Mus musculus: one gene and its partners. The protein of the gene in region 4 interacts with the protein of the main gene of each other region in a biochemical or structural test. Links are inferred from orthologs where the notes say so. Each region holds a gene or a part of one and is shown on either strand. Other genes may lie near its edges.

Region 1 (3,500 bases), on a different chromosome or scaffold from region 4:
GGCACCCCTGTGTTCATGTGTACCTCCCATTAAAGAGGTGAGACTCCAGCATTATGCGCATTGGGTTCAAATCTAGTTTCACCCTCTTCCTGGATCAAGGGCAACGCCTCCAGTCTTCAGAAATCTCAGTATGCCAATCTACGCAATGGGGACAATAGCATATATTGTCTCACTGGGGACAGATGAGATTTCAGGAGAAACCTTCCAAAATGCTCAGAAAATTGGAATATACTATAACGTCTGATCTAAAGAATGAGTCATAGCAAGTGATTTCTCTAAAAAATAACTGGTGGTCAGGTTTGAATAGAGCTAGTATACTTCATGTTAGTTTTCGTTCCTGGCATATCAGCTTATTTATTTGCAATACATGGCTTTTTGACTGGGTTGATGAATAAGAAAATAGGCTGGAGACATATAAACCACTTTTCTTTATAAATTTTGACTTTAGTTTTAGGGGAACAAAATTAGTGTCCTTAATGTATCATTAAAATAGTATATACTTTAGCATATATATAAAGGCAAAGAAACCATTTTGTTGTTTGTATTATATTCTATCCCATACATCTGAATAAGCACATAAATACATAAATAAATGCTTCCATTTATTCGCTAAATAGAATTTAAATAATGATCTTCAGATCCTTGGGGAAGTGCTTGTGAGCTATTATTAGCTTACTGAAGCTTCATAATACAGAGAACAGGAGGTTCCATTTAGAAAACAATGCAGAGATTGGCACAGCTTGGTTTCAAAAATATATCTTAGAAGGCTGGTACAATGCTATACAAAAGGTGCTGGAGATTTATGCACATTAACTAAATCATCCTGCATTTTTTACGACAATCTATGGATATTTCCCTCTCCGTATGACTGTGGGAAACTTAAAGGGTACACATATTTAATCTTCTTAGTTGTTACCTAGTCATTCATGAGTTACTATGAAGAAAATAGGTCTGTTCATAGATCCTTCTATCAAAAAAGTATCAATGGGAGGAAAGGAGGTCCTGAAGTCATCAGGAGCTGCGATCATTCACAAATATAGATTCTCACTCATTATCAAGTGTTACATCCTTGGCCTGCCCGGCCATTCAGTACCTGCATGCACGACGCTCGAGAGTGCGTGTTCATACCTGGGCACTCACTCTCTGCCCTGCTCTGCTCCTCAAACTTATAAAATGCCTGCAGAAACAGAAGCAGAGACAGTCCATGACTCGGATTTGCAAACGCCTTTCAGCAACACATTCACAGGATGTTAGTGCCATAGCAATGTGATGGATGGAACTCTCAAACAAGCAGATGCTAACCAAGGAGCACAATAATGGTGGGAGACATGGGTGAAGCATATGGCAGATATGGGTGGATAAGAAGTATGTGCTTTGGTAGAGGCCAGATTAGAGACAAGACTCCAACCCTCACGCTAGTTTTTGTATCAAAATTTGGAGCATAAATTGGACAGGGGTGCTGCTGTGATTCAGTGTCTGATATTCCCAAATTATGAGAACTCGAGTCTCGTTTTAGTAAGGTCCTACTAAGTATGGAAGTGTTAATGTGAGTTCACAAGTGACTGTCACACAACTTTTGGGTTATTTCAGTCACCAGAGGGACTAAGTCTTTGTCCCTCTGCCCAGACCAGTGTCACCAGGCAGCCATTCATTTTGAGACCGACTGGATGCTGTAATAAGCCTTGATCTTTCTTTAAAAGCCTCATATGCCATACCATTCAAATCCACCCATACCTGCTCCATGTTTTTTCTTTCTCCAACTCCATGAAACATAAAAATAATATCCCAGACATTCACAGCAAGCAGAGCTCCTAAGCCTCCTGCCGCCGCACGCCTTTTCTATTTTTGCTTTCCCTTTCCACTTTCCCCTTCTCCTGTCTGTATGTTCGCTGCTTCACAAATTGGAAGGCATAGAAGGGAAGAAAACACTCATCTAAGGACGGTGATGGGAGTTACGGAAGCATCCTCGCCTCCACGTTCTGCTTAGAGCAAGTCAGGTCTCCTGTCGTGTGCAATAAACCCAGTAACCTAGTCTTCGTGACCGAAGGCTGAAATATAAACGGTCACACCAGTAGATCTAGGACAGAGGTTGGTGACAATGACCAGGTGGACAAAAGACAGTCCATTGCTAAGGGCGAGAGGAGTATCCCACAGACAGTTAATGGAATGTAAGAAACAGAGGAGAAGAGGAGACGTGAATTACCTCTTTTTCACAGTTGGAGTTAAGAGTGAGCATAGCCATAGGGCTGTTGGGTGCGCTGCTCCCCGGCACTGGTGGCATGGCATGGTCGCCAGGCTGGTTTGGACATGGTGAGCTCAGGACTTGGCTGGCATGTTTATTTGCTAAAGTGGTAGAAAGGTACTGCTTTACCTGGTGCCTCTGAGCTTGCTGTATGTGGTACTTGGTGGGGTTTTCCAGGTGGGTCTGCACCTGAGCATGGCCGTGGAGGGAAGAGAAGATAGCAGTGTTATTCGGGGCTTTCAGGTAGCTTTTCCTGTAGCATAGATTGTGAGACTGACCAGTTGACCAACAGAACAGATTATCAATCCCCTGTAAGGTACTGGCCATTGTGCTAATAATAATAATAATAATAATAATAATAGTAAAATAATTGATAGTACTGAAGCTGAGAATCTAAATTGCAGGATTTAGAGCTCTTAGAATCCAGGGTACTAACTATCCTGTTTAACGTCCCTGATAATTAAGTATACATTTAATTCTATCCTAGTGCCCTTCTTCTTATGGCTAATTATTAAATTTGCAAGTATCTATGAGGCGAAAATCTCCCCAACACAAAAATCAAAACAACAAACTTGAAAACGCACAACTCTGTTTTATCTTGTTTTCCTTGGCAAATAGAATAGCTTTCTGTTAAAATGTATGTGCATGTACAAAAACACACAATCATGCACACACTCCCCACCCACACACACACTCAGAATCACACTCACAGAAACACACACACACACAGAGACAAATCTATATACAAACACACACAAAATCCTTAAGTACTGACTAAAATTATCATAGAAATAATCAGAAATATTGCCATGTTTAAATCAAGGAATTACTGGTTACTTCCTTTCATATATAAAAATATTATTCAGGATTTTAATTATGAATGAGCTCTATGGAGAAAGCAATTCTACACAAAGCAGTTACATTCAAGTCTATATCACTTGTATGTAAGAGTTTTTAAAGGCTTACTTATTGACAAACCAGCACAGTATTTGCTGTCGTTTTCCATCAACACTAACAGGGAATTAGAAATGCTTTTTTAAAAAAAAATAAGCAAAATCAATGACATTTGATTTAAAGTTACTTTTCACTGACAAACACAATTTTATCTTATCCACTCTAAACAAGAGCTGCTCGGGAGAAAGCAGTTACCTACTGGGGAAAGAAATCTTCCTGCTATTTACTATGTCTAAAGCTATAGTAAATTACTTCTTAGGGCATCAGAAAATAAATAGCATTAAAGGAGCAGATCTGTCCTTAT
Region 2 (3,500 bases), on a different chromosome or scaffold from region 4:
CTCCTTATCTCAGTGAACCTGATTGGGATAATCCTCCGCAGACATCACAGAGACCCATCTCCCAGGTTCTTCTAGGTTCATCAGATCGACAGTTGAGACTGACCATCACAGTTTTGGTCAGAGTATTTAATCACAGCAACTGAAAAAGAAACTATTACAGCAAGCTTTTGCTTTGGACTTTTAAGGAAACTCCCTAGTTGTCTCTCAGAGCCATTGTATCACTGTTTTCCATGCGTGATGTTTAAGAGTTCTGGTTGCTCCACACCATTGCCAGCACGTGGCACACACGGTCCTTTTAAATTACAGCTGTTCTGATGGTCATATGGTGGCATCTCATTGTATATAGTTACGTTTTGCTTTATGTATATGGGTATTTTGCCTGCATTTATTTATGTCTGTGTACCATGTGTGTGCCCAGTGCCTGAGGAGGTCAGAAAAAGGCACCAGAGACTCTGGGACTAGAGTTACGGATGCTTGTGAACCTCTGTGTGGGTGCTGGGAACCAACTTTGCTCCTCTGCAAGAACAGCACGTGCTTTTAACTGTGGAGACATCTCTCCTGTCCCTTCGATTTAATCCACGCTTTCCTTCTTAGTAATGACATAGAACATCTTTGCCATCTTTAACTTTTTAAACTAGCATTTGATTAAGGGAATCACCTGCTATTTGAATGTTGGGTTGCTTTTGGCATTCTTTATCCTAGAAAGGACCTCTGTGAGATATATTCTTTGCCGGTGTTCTCCTCTGACTTGTTACCTCTCTTTTTGTCCAAGTTTTATACCGATCAGAAGCCTCTCTCCTGAGTCCCATTGTATCGATATGTCAACTTTGACTTTTACGGACAGTGTTTTTGGTGGAGCAGCTGAGAAATCACTGTCTGGTCACAGAGTTCCTCAATGGTTTGAGATTTATTCTTTGACCCTTAGTTTCTACAGAGGTGTAAGGTGCAGGTTGAAGTTCATTTTTCTTAGTGTGGATCTTCAGGAGGCTCAGCACCACCTGCTAAAGGATTAACCCGTCCCTGCTGGTGTGTCTTTGGACTTTCGATACAAGTCAATGTCCCATGTATATGTGACGGTCTTTGTTGGGTCTTATTGGTGTCATGGTCAGTTTTGAGGATGTCGGCACACTACTTTGATGATGGAAGCACTCTTGCTTTTTTTTTTTTCCATCTACTGTTTGTCTTTGTGCATGTATATGTGTACTTGTGTGGGTTTGTGTGTGTGCAGGTATGCTGATGTGTGCAGGGACCTAGGCACATGTTCGAATGTCTGTGGCTGCCAGAAGGTAGCTTTGGCTGCTGTTCCTCAGGTGCCATCCACTTTGTTTTTATTCTTTGGGACAGGGTCTCATTGACCTTGGTCTCACCATATAGGCTAGGCAGGGATCTGGCTGTCCCGCCTCCTCTGTGCACTACCCAAGCCAGCTCTTCTCACATGGGTTCTGGAGACAGAACTCCTTGTGTTCTTACACTCGCAACGCAGGTACTTTGCTAAGTGGATCGTCTCCCTAGCACCCGTTGTTACTTTGAAAGCAAGAGGATACCCCTCCCAGTGCCCAGGAGGGACTCTCCAGCTCCACTCTTCCTCATGGCTGGCATGGCCCTTCTCTGGCCATTTCTCTCCTGTCCCCCTCTTTCCCATCAGAGAGGTGGCCACAGCATCCAGCTAACCTTGTGTTGAGGCTTATGTCATACCCTGGAGGGACAGTGTGGCCACCTCCCTTATCTTTGGGGACTTCGGTAAAGAAAGTGAGGGGAGCTGAAGGATTTTGTCTCCATCTACTACGAACCACTCTCTTGTTGCCTCTTCTTTGACCCCAACTCAGCCCCCGCTTGCCTAGGGCTGGCTTAGAGAATAACAGCAGTCACCGGTAACACTGAGAGGATTTCTCCCCAGGTGGTGCTCTGCAAAGTGCTTTCTAGTAGAGATCAGGTGAGGGGAGACTGTCCCCATCTTACACATGGGGCAGTTGAGGGTCCTAGTGCCCAGGCTTGCATAGTCAGGAGCATCTTCAGGTCTTAGGATTTCACATCTGGCTGCCTTCCTCCTGTGCCTCAAGGGCTAGTTTCAGGCTGTCCTCTCTTGTTCAGCTCTGTAATTACTGTTTTCAGCTGTAGGGGCTCCTTGGTCTGGGCCTCATGGGAGGGAGGTAATTACATCCTTCCACAAGTCCTTAGTCAGCAGCTCTCAGTCCCTGTGACCAGGCCTAGCACTGACCTTTGTCCCTCCCTATTCCAAGCCAGTAGCTTGGAGATTATTTGGACCCTGGTTGGCTCTGGTTGACACATCTGGCCAGCCCCTCTATTATAAAGTACTCATAAAATCTGTTGAATTCAGACCCATACGTGCCATAGGGACAGAGGGACAGCTTTCAGTGGCCCTCTGCTAGTCTGGCCCAGCTACTAAAAAACATCATGCCCTCAACCCTGGGCTCCTAGAACAGCTTTCTTGTAGAAAGGACAGTCTTGCTTCTCCTAATCTATACTCGCCACCCCACCGCCTCCCAACCTGTGGACCCCACACAGCCAGACTTATTGTAGGGCCTGTTGTGCTCACATGTGTACACGTACACAGTCCATTCAACATCTAAGAGGCCATTTTTTGCTTTCAGAGAAAAGTAGGACTCCCTGCCAGGTCAGCTCTCCAGGCCATTCAGCTTCCTTTTGTAGTCTTATACTTGGCTTCCACCCTGTTCAGCAGTCTCCTCTACGGGGCCAGACTGGTGGCATGTATATCTACTTAGGCTTAGTTCAAGAAGGTCCCCTTCCTTGAGAGCTGCTACTCTGAGAACCCTGGAGCCTATTGGGTACAAGAGCCTCTCTTCCAGCCTAGGGGACCTCAGCCTTCCTTAGTGGGCCTCCTTGTTTCTTTTGGGAGCTGGGACCCTGTTCAGCAAGAACAGTTAACAGTGGTGCTCAGACCTCCTGGTCCCCTGTGTCTAGGGGAGAAATGAACGCAAATGGGCCTGCCAGCAGCCTTGAACTCCCCAGGAGCTGCTGGGAGCTGGACTTAGGAGACGGCAGTCCAAATCTACTTAACTGACACTTTCTGTTCCTTCTTTGCCATGGCAGGTCACTGGATGGTCGGCTGCAGGTGTCCCATCGGAAGGGGCTCCCTCACGTTATCTACTGCCGCCTGTGGCGATGGCCCGACCTGCACAGCCACCATGAATTACGGGCCATGGAGCTCTGTGAGTTTGCCTTCAACATGAAGAAGGATGAAGTGTGTGTAAATCCTTACCACTATCAGAGAGTAGAGACGCCAGGTGTGTGAGTGTGTCCCTGCCCTCCCCCTCCTACCTACTCAGGAGGGTCTCAGAAGCCCTTGGGGCTGGGACCTCAGTGCGCTGGCACTGATCCACCTCTGTTGTGTCTCTCTTGGGGACAGTTCTACCTCCAGTGTTGGTGCCACGCCACACCGAGATCCCGGCCGAGTTCCCCCCACTGGATGACTACAGCCATTCCATTCCCGAGAACACTAACTTCCCTGCTGGCATTGA
Region 3 (3,500 bases), on a different chromosome or scaffold from region 4:
AGAGAGAGAGAGAGAGAGAGAGAGAGAGAGAGAGAGAGAGAGAAAAGAAAAGAAAGGAAGGAAGAGGAGGAAGAAGGAGAAAGGGGTTGGGAGAGCTGCAGCGATGGAGATAGCTTATTAGTGTTAATACGACTTGCTATTCTTCCAGAAGACCTGAATTTGGTTTCTAGCATCCATGTCTGATGGTTCATAGTTGCCTATGACTTAAGCTCTGAGGAATCTAACTGCACTGACCTTAAGGAGTCTTGCATTCAAGTGCACACACACAGACTACACACAGACAGTTAAAAATAATTTTTAGGTGGGGCCTGAGGGGTCCTTTTGCTAGCACCAGAACAGTTGCTGGAGAGTTCAACCGCCAGCTTAAAAGATGCCACCGAAGGGGAAAAGTAGTTCTGGAAAAGGAGGGAAAGGAGGTGCAGCCTCTGGGAGTGACAGTGCTGACAAGAAGTCTCAGGGTCCTAAAGGTGGTGGCAATGCAGTAAAGGTCAGACACAGTCTGTGTGAAAAACATGGGAAAATCATGGAAGCCATGGAAAAGTTAAAGTCTGGGATGAGATTCAGTGAAGTGGCCACACAATATAGTGAAGATAAAGCCAGACAAGGGGTGACTTGGGTTGGATGACCAGAGGATCCATGGTGGGGCCATTTCAAGAAGCAGCGTTTGCCTTGCCTGTAAGTGGGATGGATAAGCCTGTGTTTACAGACCCACCAGTTAAGACAAAATTTGGATATCATATTATTATGGTTGAAGGGAGAAAATAAAATCACATGAAAGACTGAAAAAATAATAATAATTTTTAGGTTTAAAAACAAAGTGAGCATTGGTGGCATATGCCTTGAGTCCTTGTACTTGGGAGGCAGAGGCAGTGGATCTTTATGAGTTTGAAGCTAACCTGGTCTACATAAAAATGTCCAGGAAGGATAGCCAGGGCTGTATAGTGAAACCATATATTTTTTTTCTCCATAAAATATACTTTTTATTTTTTTTTTTAAGGTGGCATCTTAGTGTTAAGAGCACTGATTGCAGCTATGTGACAATTGACAACTGTCCAAGGGAGTTCTGACACTCTCTTCTGGTCTTCAGGCAGTACACTGACTGCATGCACTTGTTGCACAGACATACATGCAGACAAAAATACTCATAAAAATAACTCTTAGAATAACTTTTAGATAATAAGTTTTAGAGAAAAAAAACATGTGGAGCTAAGTGTGGTATCTCAGCACTTGAGAAAGTAGGGGATCTTTGTAACAGGTTCTAACAAAGTCTACAAGTCTGAGCTTTCCAGCTTTACATAACCACTAGGAACTCATCTATTTATCATCAGTGTGGGGTAATAATTGTCACAGGAAACATGTTTTATATGGAGATAGTCTAACTTCTATGTGGATGTAGTTATTTTCGCTTGCATTTTCTGTCTTTGAGAAATGAGTGAGCTGGCACTGAACTGCAGCAGACTCTCTCAAAGTGTTCCTCTTCCATAGATCGGTCCCGTGTTAGTCTACAGGTGTCCACTGAGTACTCAAGTTCTTCTGCTTTCAGGGTGGTTGTTAGAGCCCTGACAGTGTCTTAGCCACACTTCCCTCAGAAAGGGTCCAGAGATCTGAACCTCAGGGGAAAGCCAGTTTCTCAGGCGCTCCCATCACTGGAACACCAGTGCTGAGAGCTGCCCCGTAGTTAGATAAGGCCAGGAAGTGGTGTCCTCTGAGCATGAATTTCCCATCCTAGGGAGATCCAAATGAAATGTTGCTGTTAATTAGGTTATAGAGTCAGAACAGTTTGAGCACCAAAAAATTGGTGAAGTGGTTTGCTACCTACAAAGACTTGTTCATAGGAAGACCATTCTATCAGTCTCCTTATCATGCCCAGCTCGATAAATGTGGCCTCATGTGGCATCATGGATTTCTAAGTTCCACAGTTTTCTGTCAGTGTAAGAGATTTCTAGAATGTAAAAGATATGTGCTGGTCTAAACACTGAGTGCTTACCTTTTATTTCAAGAGTGAATGCTTTGGGTATTTATTGCACTACATGTATCTGATGTGTAGATTAGCCCCTTGAAGAGCTTGGATCCATTTGAAGCATTAAAATTGATTCGTTTACTGTTTGAAAAGAATAGTCTTTAGACACTACCTGCAAGATTATAAATGCTGTGGTTTTGAAGCAGTGGGGTCTAGAGATGTAACGCCAGAGTTACTCTAGTGTAAGAGCTCTATGATCTCCGTGAAATGGAGCCCAACTGGCCATAAACTCACAATCCCGTCTTAGCCTCCTAAGTGGTAGAATAACAGGTATGTACCACCTAACCTGATTTTTAAAAAAAATAGGCCAGAAAGTAAAAGAAAGAGTTCTTATCAGAGCTTCCTTGAAGATGTTGTAGTTGTTCTAAGGTTAAAAAAAAAAAAAGTGGCATTCATTTTCATTTCTAAGGCTGCAACTTAAGTCTAATGAAAACGCCATTCTGTGATCTCCTGTCAACCTGTATTTCATGTTCTCTTGCAGTTGGATTTGATCACAGATCTGTTGGGCACACCATCACTGGAAGCAATGAGGACAGCTTGTGAAGGTGCTAAGGCACACATACTCAGGGGTCCTCATAAACAGGTAAAGAGGGGAAGTCTGTCTCTGGCAGCTGGCCCCAAGGGAAGAATTTCTATCCCAGAGATGTTGCTTACAGGTTTTAGATATATATATATTCATGGACACATAGACACAAACAGATATCCTACAAGTAAGATCACTGTTATGTGTATATGACCATAAATAGTAAATGGCATGTGGCCATGCCCAGTACTATAGGAGAAATGCGTGTTTTTATAGCGCCATTGCTTATCAGTGACAGGTGACCTCTTGGTGTTACCAGTATGTGGGAGGAAGCTCTGACTTAAGTGCATGTGAGTCAAGATACCAGCTCCAAACACTAAGCCCAAATAACGGTCGGTGTCTCTTTGCCTTGCAAGGATGCAAAGCAGTTGCTGTTACTCTTAGCACTAGCGTCACATTAGACCCCATTGTGGTCAGCAGTATAAAGAAGGGCTGCCCGATTCTTACTAATCAATATGACTTGCAACCTGCCAGATCACTGCTGAGAAAGCTGGGGTGCTTTTTATCTGCTCTCTTGATTAAGCAGTGTTCCCTGCAAGCACTATCCTAACCCCCTTTAGAGGAAAGTTAATGATGTGAAGAGTGAGTGAGGGAGGAGAATGCTTTTCCTAGACACAAGAAACAAGCAGAACCAGGAAGGCTTGAGCAGGACTAGCAAGGCCGGCCTCCTCAGCCAAGGCTACACAGGAGGCAGGAAGGAAGGTTCTCAGACACTGGCTCAGGCCAGGGAGGAGAGACAGATGCTTGTGGGTTTTTATTCATATTTGTTTGCTTATTTTTGAGACAGGGCTCTGGTTATCTTTAACTCACTGTGTAGAGCAAGTTGGATCAAATTCACAGCAGCCCACCTGGTTAAGCTTATATTTAAAGAGCCTCCTTGTGGGTATATCCTTCAGT
Region 4 (4,458 bases):
CCAGCCCCTTGTTGTACCTAAATCTATCAGATTACATATGACCAACCACGTCCTATGCAGCAAACCAAACTATACATATATTTCAAACATATATATATATATATATATATATATATATATATATATATATCCACCTCCTAGCCAGCTCCCAAACTGGTAGTTATCAGTAAGCAAAGTTTTAAATGCTGACTTAAAGAACTGTTAAAGTCTACAATGCCCAATAGCCCACACTTTCACCTTTAAAAGAGAGCTCTTGTCCTAAGCGTTCTTATGTAATGAAACCAACACACGATTCGTTGGAGTCTTATTTTCCATTTAAGTAAGATGGAGATACAATTCTTCCTGTTTACTGCTCCCAGGTTCTACAGATGGCTGCCTCACTGGTCTAATGATTTTGCCTGAATATTTGACTTGAGGGGAGGGGTTGAGAGCTAAAAGACAATGTGTTTCCAAACTTAAGCCCCACTTACACAGTGACTTTCACAAAGCGTCGCCCTTAAAAGTCCTGTCCAAAATGCACCAAGGAGACAGTGGGAACCGGAGAATTTTTGAGGTTTGATTCGTATTTACATCCATCCTTTAAAGGTCCCTTTCAGCGGAGTCTCCAGGATGTCAGCAACTGCCCAGTGCTGCCTGCCTCTCCTAGGTTGTTCTTCTCCCTCCTTTTGGGATGTATTTTCCTTTTTCTACGAGGTCTCTACACGCTGAGTCGAGAATCTCCAAAAACCCACGTTCATTCGGTGATAAAGGCACAATGAATGTGATAGCGTAGAAGCGATATTTAAGGCTCAGTCTTCATCCACACCCTTCTTACTGATCCTTCCCCCCTGGTAAGCCTGGAGATTTTATTTTCGCTAGGGTGGTGTGCCCTTGTCTCCGAAGTGTGTGTGATTCACGGTTAGTAGAGTCACAACTCTTCTGTTTGCCTTTGCTGAATCTCTTCTCTCTGGTTAGGTGAGCAATGTGTTACATTTTCTCCTTTTCCTTCCCCTAGTCCCTAATTCTCGCCTTATTCCCTCTGTCAGAGCATCTATCAATGTGGTGTCGACCACAGCGCCAGCGGCTTTCTCTTTCATCTTCCTCCCCTTGCCTGAGTGAGGGGGCTAGAGTGGGCGGCGGGAAGGAGGTTGAAGAAAGACTGGCAAAGGACTAGAAGTGAGGCGCCGGGGGCGGGGTGGGGTGGGGTCGGCAAGAGAAGAAGAGATGCTCAGATGATGAAGTTAAGCCATTCCCGTAGTTTCTCGTCAATTTTCACGTGGGCCACACTGTTCTTTGGGGTTGGGTTACACACAGCACCCAGTCTATCTTCAGGTTGTATGGTGTCGTCCCCCCCCCCCCAGGCATGAACAGGCGGGCGCAAACACATACGCACCCCCACGGCGCCCCCCCCCCCCAAGTATGACTCGTCCTTTGGGTGCTAGGAAATGAACTAGGGCTGGGGGGGGGGGGAGAGAACCTGGATCTCCTCCTCCTCCTAACAGACTCCCTCCTCCCCACCCCTCCAGCAGGCAGCCAAGGAGAGCAGGAGGCGGGGGAGGGGCGGGGGAGGAGAAGCGACGCAAGTGAATAGCTTTGCAGCGCCGGCTAGGCGCGGCGAGGAGAAGCGGTGGGAAGGCGCAACCGCTCACCTGCGGGGCAGCGCGCACCGGAGGGACCGGGCTGCGCTTTCGTGGGCCCTGGCATTCGGACATTCCCGGAGCCTTGCAAGCGGCTACGCTCCGGGTGTTCCCCGGCCGGTCTGCCCGGAGGAGCCGAGGGGCCACCGGCAGCTCTTTGCTTTGACCGAGGGGAGGCGGGGAGAGAGGCGAGCCAGGCAGAAACTCGAGCCGGGAACAAAGAGGGATCGGGCTCGAGTGTGTGTGTGTGTGTGTGTGTGTGTGTGTGTGTGTAAGTGTGTGTATCGGCCCGAGCTGCGGGCTGGAACATTTGGGCCCGAAGCTCCTGCTGTGACTCCCCAAGACTCCGCCGTGCCAGCCACCGCCGATTCCCAGCGCTCATCATCACAAACTTTATTCTTGGCAAACTTCTCTTTTTCTCCCCTCCTCCTCCGCCCCTCCCCCTCCAGCAGATTAAATGCTCCTCCAGAAGGAAAACCGAAGCGAAAGGGAAGGAAAGAAGCTCTAACGCGGACGTCTGCAGCCCGGTGGCTCTTTATTGTTTACTCTGAAGGAAGTGGACTTTTCGGTATTTTCTGATTCTTCTCGTACCTCCGCTGGGGCAAAGGGAGCCTCTTGGCCCAGCTCTCCTCTTCTCAAAAACAAAACAAAACAAAACCCCAAATCACCGAAATCAGCATCCGAGGAATCCGTGGAGAGGTTTTGCACGGTGACGCACCACGGGACCCTCGTTTGCACTTTGGCAAGTCGTGTCCCCTCCGGAACCGGTGTCCTCGAAGCACAGACCCCAGCAACGAGTGCGGCGTGGGGTGGCCACCCAGCCCTGGCAGCCTAGCCTAGTGCACGCGGAGCGGCGTAGACGCTCTCAGAGGCGCCGGCGGCTGCCGCCCTCGCAGTCTGGTGCCCTTCGCCCCAGGGCCGGGCGCCGGCGTCCTTCTAAGTGGGAAAGCGCGGCAATCGCAGAGGCTCCTGCAGCTGCTCCAGCCGTGGGCCCCTCGCTTGCCCACCCGGCTTCCATTCACAGTCCTCCCGCACTCAGTCTTCCAACTCCCCCACCTCACATCGACCCTCCCTTCTTGCTGTCTCGGAGTGCTCCCGCAGCGGAGCGGAGATTACACAGCCGCCGGGATGCCCCAACTTTCCGGAGGAGGCGGCGGGGGGGACCCGGAACTCTGCGCCACCGATGAGATGATCCCCTTCAAGGACGAAGGCGATCCCCAGAAGGAGAAGATCTTCGCCGAGATCAGTCATCCCGAAGAGGAGGGCGACTTAGCCGACATCAAGTCATCTTTGGTTAACGAGTCCGAAATCATCCCAGCCAGCAACGGGCATGAGGTGAGTGGGCAGCTGTCCGGAGAGGCGTGGCGGGTCCCGGGGAAGCGGAGGGGAAGCAAGCAGGGTGCGCGACCACGGTGGCCATTGAGCCCTGGTCCCTCGCGGGCTGGGTGGGGAATAACGGCCCCTAGTCCATGGTGCGCACGTGTGTGAGCAGCGGGCAGGGAAATTTATCCCAAGTGTTTCTATGGCTAAACGGTGGCAAATGGGCAGGAAACGCTGGCCTATACCGGACCGGTTTCGTCCTCCGACGTTTCGGTGGCTCTGAGGGACGCGGTGCATTAAAACAGGGATGTCTAAACACAACTGTGAAGTCTATCATGGGGTGGAAAACAAAGTGCATCCGCTAGCTCTCTCGGTACAGTGCACAGAAGTGCGTTAAACCACCGAGGGCTCCAAGGAGCGAAGCCCCAGGCGGGAGGAAGGAGAGGCGGGCGTGGGCCTCGCAGAAGGGGCCGTCCCAACCGCCGTGGAGCCGGGGCGCGCGCCCTAACTGCGGGGGCGTTGCGGGGCCGGGTCCCCACAGCAGGAGAGGCTGCTGCCGGGAGCCGTGGGCGAGCCGATCCGAGCCAGCCAACGGCACCGATACCGCAGTCCTTCCGCCCGCAACCCCGGCGTTTAAAGTGGAAAGAAAAGCGTTTATTTGGGGTTAGGCTGGGTTGGGATCAGGCCCTGGATCTCTGCAGAAGAAAGGCGAGCCCTCGGCGGAAGCCGGGCGGCGGCTAGGGAGGAGGGACGCGCTTTATCAGATCTCCGGGCCAGCTGAAGGCGACGGCGCTGGTAACCCGAGTAGAGTAAATAGAGACACGTGGGTGCCGGCGCGAGGGAGCGGGGAGCCCGGCCGCGCGCGAGCATCGGATGGGCGTAGATCCCCACAGCCCACACCTTAGCGGCCACTCTGTCTCAGCAGCTGAGGAAACCTCACGGGGGCATCCAGTAGAAAAGTTCTGATACCCAAATGATGTGCCCAACGTTTTTTCCTTCCAGAGAAACTTGGAGAGTATAGCCTTTTCCTTAAATGGCAACTTTCTGCCCCCACCCCCAACCCAAAGAAAGGGTGGTTTCGGGGGCGGGGACATTTTGGGTTTAAAGAGTGCTTTTAAGAACACCTCAGAGTTACCTTCTCTGTCCCGATGGCAGGGGTGAGTACGCATCTGGGAAGGCTGGGGGGCTGATTCCAAAATATAAGGACCCTCTCTAGTCCCAAAGTCCTACCCCCCCCCAAAAAAAAATAGAGGAAGGGGGCGAGAATGCATTAAAAGTCAGGTAAAAAGGGTCTCCGGACGAGGGATTGAAATACCATCTAAACTCTGGTGGTTTTTTATTTTTGTTTGTTTCATTCTTGACCAGACTGTAGAGTAGCCTCTTTCTTTCTACTGGAGTAGTTTACACATTTCAATCCACCTCACATTTCTACGGTTTTGTAGTCTGAGGAGAAAAGCCATGCTTAGGAGACTGTCAACTACCGGGGTTGGGTGTTTGAACTGTTCATCTTTCCGCGGTGGAA
Region 5 (3,500 bases), on a different chromosome or scaffold from region 4:
AATTTTTTTCTAGGACAGTGATGGGGACAAGAGTGATGACAACTTAGTTGTGGATGTGTCTAACGAGGTAACAGTGTTTTTCGTGAAGGATTTTCTTGACTAGTGTTGAGAAAAGTCCAGTTGTAAGTGAGTGGAGTTGAGTCACGTTAGCTGAGTCTTATACCTTCATGTATCAAGAATGTAATGGATGCTTAAAAATGGGTACTCATAACCTAACTAAAGCTGTAATTTCCCTTTCAAAACATGAGGTTTGGGAATGGACCTCAGTTCATGAGTGTTTGTCTACCATTGGCGCCAACTCTGTTTGATCCCCAGCCCCCCAGAAAGAAAAATCTGCTTCCTAAGTCATTTTAATTTCTGTGGTTGATGTCTGGCTAGAGGATGTTCCTGGGTATTGGTAGAAAGATGATTGTTTTTCTTATGATATGGTTCTGGGTGTTTTATAAATACCATTTTGTTCATTTAGTGAGCATTACACTCCTCAAATCTAAAAGATTTTCAGTATTATCCTTTAGTTGAGAGTATGAAAAAGTATGTTCATTCTGAGCTAAAACATGTCAACTTGTTATTGTGTGTTGAGGACCCTTCTTCTCCACATGCAAGCCCCACACACTCACCCCGGGAAAACGGAATTGACAAAAACCGTCTGCTGAAGAAAGATGCTTCAGGTAGCCCGGCATCCACAGCCTCCTCTGGAAGTTCCTCTTCCCTGAAATCCAAAGAAGTGAGCCTGGTAGGTAGGAGCTGCTTTTTTTCTGGGTGACACTGCCATTTCCTTTGTGGAACATGGGATCCTGAAGTGTGTGAAGTGGGGATTTTGCTGCTTAAAGCTTTTGTGTTCAAGTGTTAAAACACTTGCTGTCCTATTTACTGTTCCCCTTTATCTCATTTGTCTCTCAGAGCACAATTAGAGTGGGTGTGGAAGTTTCTGTGTGCATCGTTTTTCTCCTTATACATGGTCATGACTCAGCTCTGTGACACTCAATAAGTGGTAGTGAATAACTCACAAGGAATCTTGATTTTGCTAAGCTCCTGTTTATGGGGTAAACTAAGCCATTGTGCATATCCCATCCTCGTTGGCATGTACACAGGAGACATGGGATCTTCAGAGCCCATTCATCATAGCCCATTCATGTGGTCCTTAAACCACTGAATCTTTTATAACTTCGGATGGTAGTGCTTGCCTGTAGTGCCTATATTTTGGAGGATCTGGCAGGAAGGAAGCTCTTGGGATAGAGGTCAAGTCTGTCTTACATTGTGAGACTACCTCAAAGCAAGTCTTTACTTTGGTGACCTCAGGGTTATCGCTTTATGCAAATAGAGTAAAGCAAAACCTGAGTAACTTGTTGAGAACATTCTATCAAATCCTAAGCCAGAGCTGGGAGTTTTGGCTCACTCTGTTTTCTACACCCTGGTCCTTCTTGAGCAGTGTTCTAGGGACACAGGAGTTGAGAGATAAAAGAAGATACCCTTTTTATGGAATTACTGTCTCAAGTTATAAAGGTTGCCAACAGGTGATAAGTCTCCTGTGTGCACGGATGGGTCTTCATTAGCTAGGTAGCCATAGAGAAGAGCAGTGTGGGAAGGGTACTTCAGGAACTTTATTTCTGAAGTGCTGGTTTGCTTCTAAAGTAATTGGTAGTTCCACTGTCTGTCACCATCAGTCTGAGTCCCCAAAAGGTGAGGCTGAGAAAAGGTTTCCACTTTGGAGATTGTAGCCAGGTAGGCCCTTCCCAGTGACTTGGAAAGAATCTCCCTGTGGTCATCTTTCTCACCCAGCGAAGACCCGAAGTTCACAAGCTTCATGGAAAACTTGTTGTAAAATAAAATTTGTGGAGGATCATGCTCTGTGTGTCTCCGGCTCGAGTTTTAATCTGGCAGGAAGATGAAAGGTCAACATTTCTCACTCACAAGTTAATGCTGTCGACATTGTGTGGATTTATGAAAATTGGCTAGGGTGTTGCTAGAAGGTGCCCAGTGCCCCAGCTGCTGTTGTGATAAATTGTGTAATATGGCTTGGATTAAAAATAATACTCATTTAATTTGTTTAATGATACCAGCATGAAAAAGCCAACACTCCTGTTCTGAAATCCAGCACACCGACGCCTCGGAGCGACATGCCAACCCCAGGCACCAGCGCTACTCCAGGCCTCCGTCCAGGTCTTGGCAAGCCTCCAGCCATGGAACCCCTTGTCAACCAAGCAGGTCAGCACCCCTTCCCCTACTGTGCTTTGTTTCTTCTGTCCCAGCTTGATGTGCTGTCTGCTAATCTCCTGACAGTTTGCCCCTGAATGTGAAGCACTTGGCACTATTCTCCTGTCTGGAAAGGCATGGGAGCAAGCACATTTGTCCTGGATCCCAGCAGCTGCACCAGTTACTCTCCAGAAGTTTACATTCAGCTTCTCTTTTATTTAAAAATAGTCCAAATCCAATGGTTACAGTAAAGTTCCTCATATTATTCCAAACATAATCTTACAAGTCTGTCATTGTATGTCTGACTGATGTTGCTAATATTAAGCCCCTTGTCAACCAACCAACCAACCAACCAGCCAACCAAAGTGGCTGATTTTGTAGCCAGTGTATACATTTTGCCGCCTATAGATGACTGGGTTTTGTTTGTTTGTCTTGTTTTGTTTTGTTTTGTTTTTTGCTACATCTTCAGGAGTCAGGAAGTTGGGAGGTTTTGCTAATACTCTAGCCCATGAGGTCACTCATAACTTTGAATTTGATCTTCCTCATTGGACAAGCTAAAAAGTAGCAGCCTGAGTCCAGGGGAATTAGGCACCAGAATCCCCTTCCTAAAGCCTTGCTCTGGTTTGCATAAATCCAGGATTTGGTTTTCATTTGGAATTGGTACCAGGGAGTGGAAAGTTCGGACTCAAGGAGAAATCTTGGATTTTATCCAGAAAGTCTTCTTTTGAGATTAAGTCAGGTAAACACGCAGACTCTGTACCTTGGCTTGCCCTTTATGAATTGAGTGCAAAGATGTTGATTAATCCTCCTGGCTTCCTGGTGCGGCTGCTTTGCCAATGAGGAAATTTGGGGGTTGTGCTTTCTGTCCTTGAGGAATGGACCTTGTGTCTAGATTGGGGATCATGATTGCTATCCCCTGAAGCCCTGCCCATCATCATAACTAATGACTAGAATCATTGGTCAGGTTTGGCATGATAGTCAGTCTCATCATACATGGCATGTTTCCTTGCAGCAGCTGGCCTGAGGACGCCCCTGGCGGTGCCTGGCCCATACCCTGCCCCCTTTGGCATGGTGCCCCATGCGGGCATGAACGGAGAGCTGACCAGCCCTGGTGCTGCCTATGCAGGTCTACACAGCATGTCTCCACAGATGAGCGCTGCAGCTGCTGCAGCTGCTGCTGCTGTGGTGGCCTATGGGCGCTCCCCAATGGTAGGTCATGTGCTTGGGTGTGCCCCAGGGACTAGGCAACCCAAAGGGTTCAGGGCCCAAGGTGTGTAGTACTCAGGCAGTGAGGTTCTGGGTATACA

What was found.
Region 1: the proteins of Lef1 (region 4) and Mitf form a complex in vitro, tested with the Homo sapiens proteins (2 studies listed by BioGRID). The link is inferred for Mus musculus from reciprocal best matches to the Homo sapiens genes LEF1 and MITF.
Region 2: the proteins of Lef1 (region 4) and Smad3 form a complex in vitro, tested with the Homo sapiens proteins (2 studies listed by BioGRID, with this or other methods). The link is inferred for Mus musculus from reciprocal best matches to the Homo sapiens genes LEF1 and SMAD3.
Region 3: of the proteins of Lef1 (region 4) and Nlk, one has a biochemical effect on the other in vitro, tested with the Homo sapiens proteins (4 studies listed by BioGRID). The link is inferred for Mus musculus from reciprocal best matches to the Homo sapiens genes LEF1 and NLK.
Region 5: the proteins of Lef1 (region 4) and Tle1 form a complex in vitro, tested with the Homo sapiens proteins (2 studies listed by BioGRID and IntAct, with this or other methods). The link is inferred for Mus musculus from reciprocal best matches to the Homo sapiens genes LEF1 and TLE1.

The regions. Positions count from the first base shown.
Region 1 is NC_000072.6:97,992,058-97,995,557, reverse strand, and holds part of Mitf (microphthalmia-associated transcription factor), read right to left. Parts: intron 2,432-3,500; coding exon 2,204-2,431; intron 1,178-2,203; coding exon 1,094-1,177; intron 1-1,093. UniProt on the Homo sapiens protein: Transcription factor that acts as a master regulator of melanocyte survival and differentiation as well as melanosome biogenesis.
Region 2 is NC_000075.6:63,667,495-63,670,994, reverse strand, and holds part of Smad3 (mothers against decapentaplegic homolog 3), read left to right. Parts: intron 1-3,072; coding exon 3,073-3,266; intron 3,267-3,388; coding exon 3,389-3,500. UniProt on the Homo sapiens protein: Receptor-regulated SMAD (R-SMAD) that is an intracellular signal transducer and transcriptional modulator activated by TGF-beta (transforming growth factor) and activin type 1 receptor kinases.
Region 3 is NC_000077.6:78,582,426-78,585,925, reverse strand, and holds part of Nlk (serine/threonine-protein kinase NLK), read left to right. Parts: intron 1-317; exon of another isoform or gene 318-783; intron 784-2,501; coding exon 2,502-2,603; intron 2,604-3,500. UniProt on the Homo sapiens protein: Serine/threonine-protein kinase that regulates a number of transcription factors with key roles in cell fate determination. Positive effector of the non-canonical Wnt signaling pathway, acting downstream of WNT5A, MAP3K7/TAK1 and HIPK2.
Region 4 is NC_000069.6:131,108,728-131,113,185, forward strand, and holds the start of Lef1 (lymphoid enhancer-binding factor 1), read left to right. Parts: upstream 1-1,569; 5' UTR 1,570-2,744; coding exon 2,745-2,951; intron 2,952-3,499; exon of another isoform or gene 3,500-4,084; coding exon of another isoform or gene 4,085-4,093; intron 4,094-4,458. UniProt on the Homo sapiens protein: Transcription factor that binds DNA in a sequence-specific manner. Participates in the Wnt signaling pathway. Activates transcription of target genes in the presence of CTNNB1 and EP300.
Region 5 is NC_000070.6:72,138,394-72,141,893, reverse strand, and holds part of Tle1 (transducin-like enhancer protein 1), read left to right. Parts: intron 1-13; coding exon 14-67; intron 68-580; coding exon 581-733; intron 734-2,060; coding exon 2,061-2,205; intron 2,206-2,830; coding exon of another isoform or gene 2,831-2,932; intron 2,933-3,205; coding exon 3,206-3,402; intron 3,403-3,500. UniProt on the Homo sapiens protein: Transcriptional corepressor that binds to a number of transcription factors. Inhibits NF-kappa-B-regulated gene expression. Inhibits the transcriptional activation mediated by FOXA2, and by CTNNB1 and TCF family members in Wnt signaling.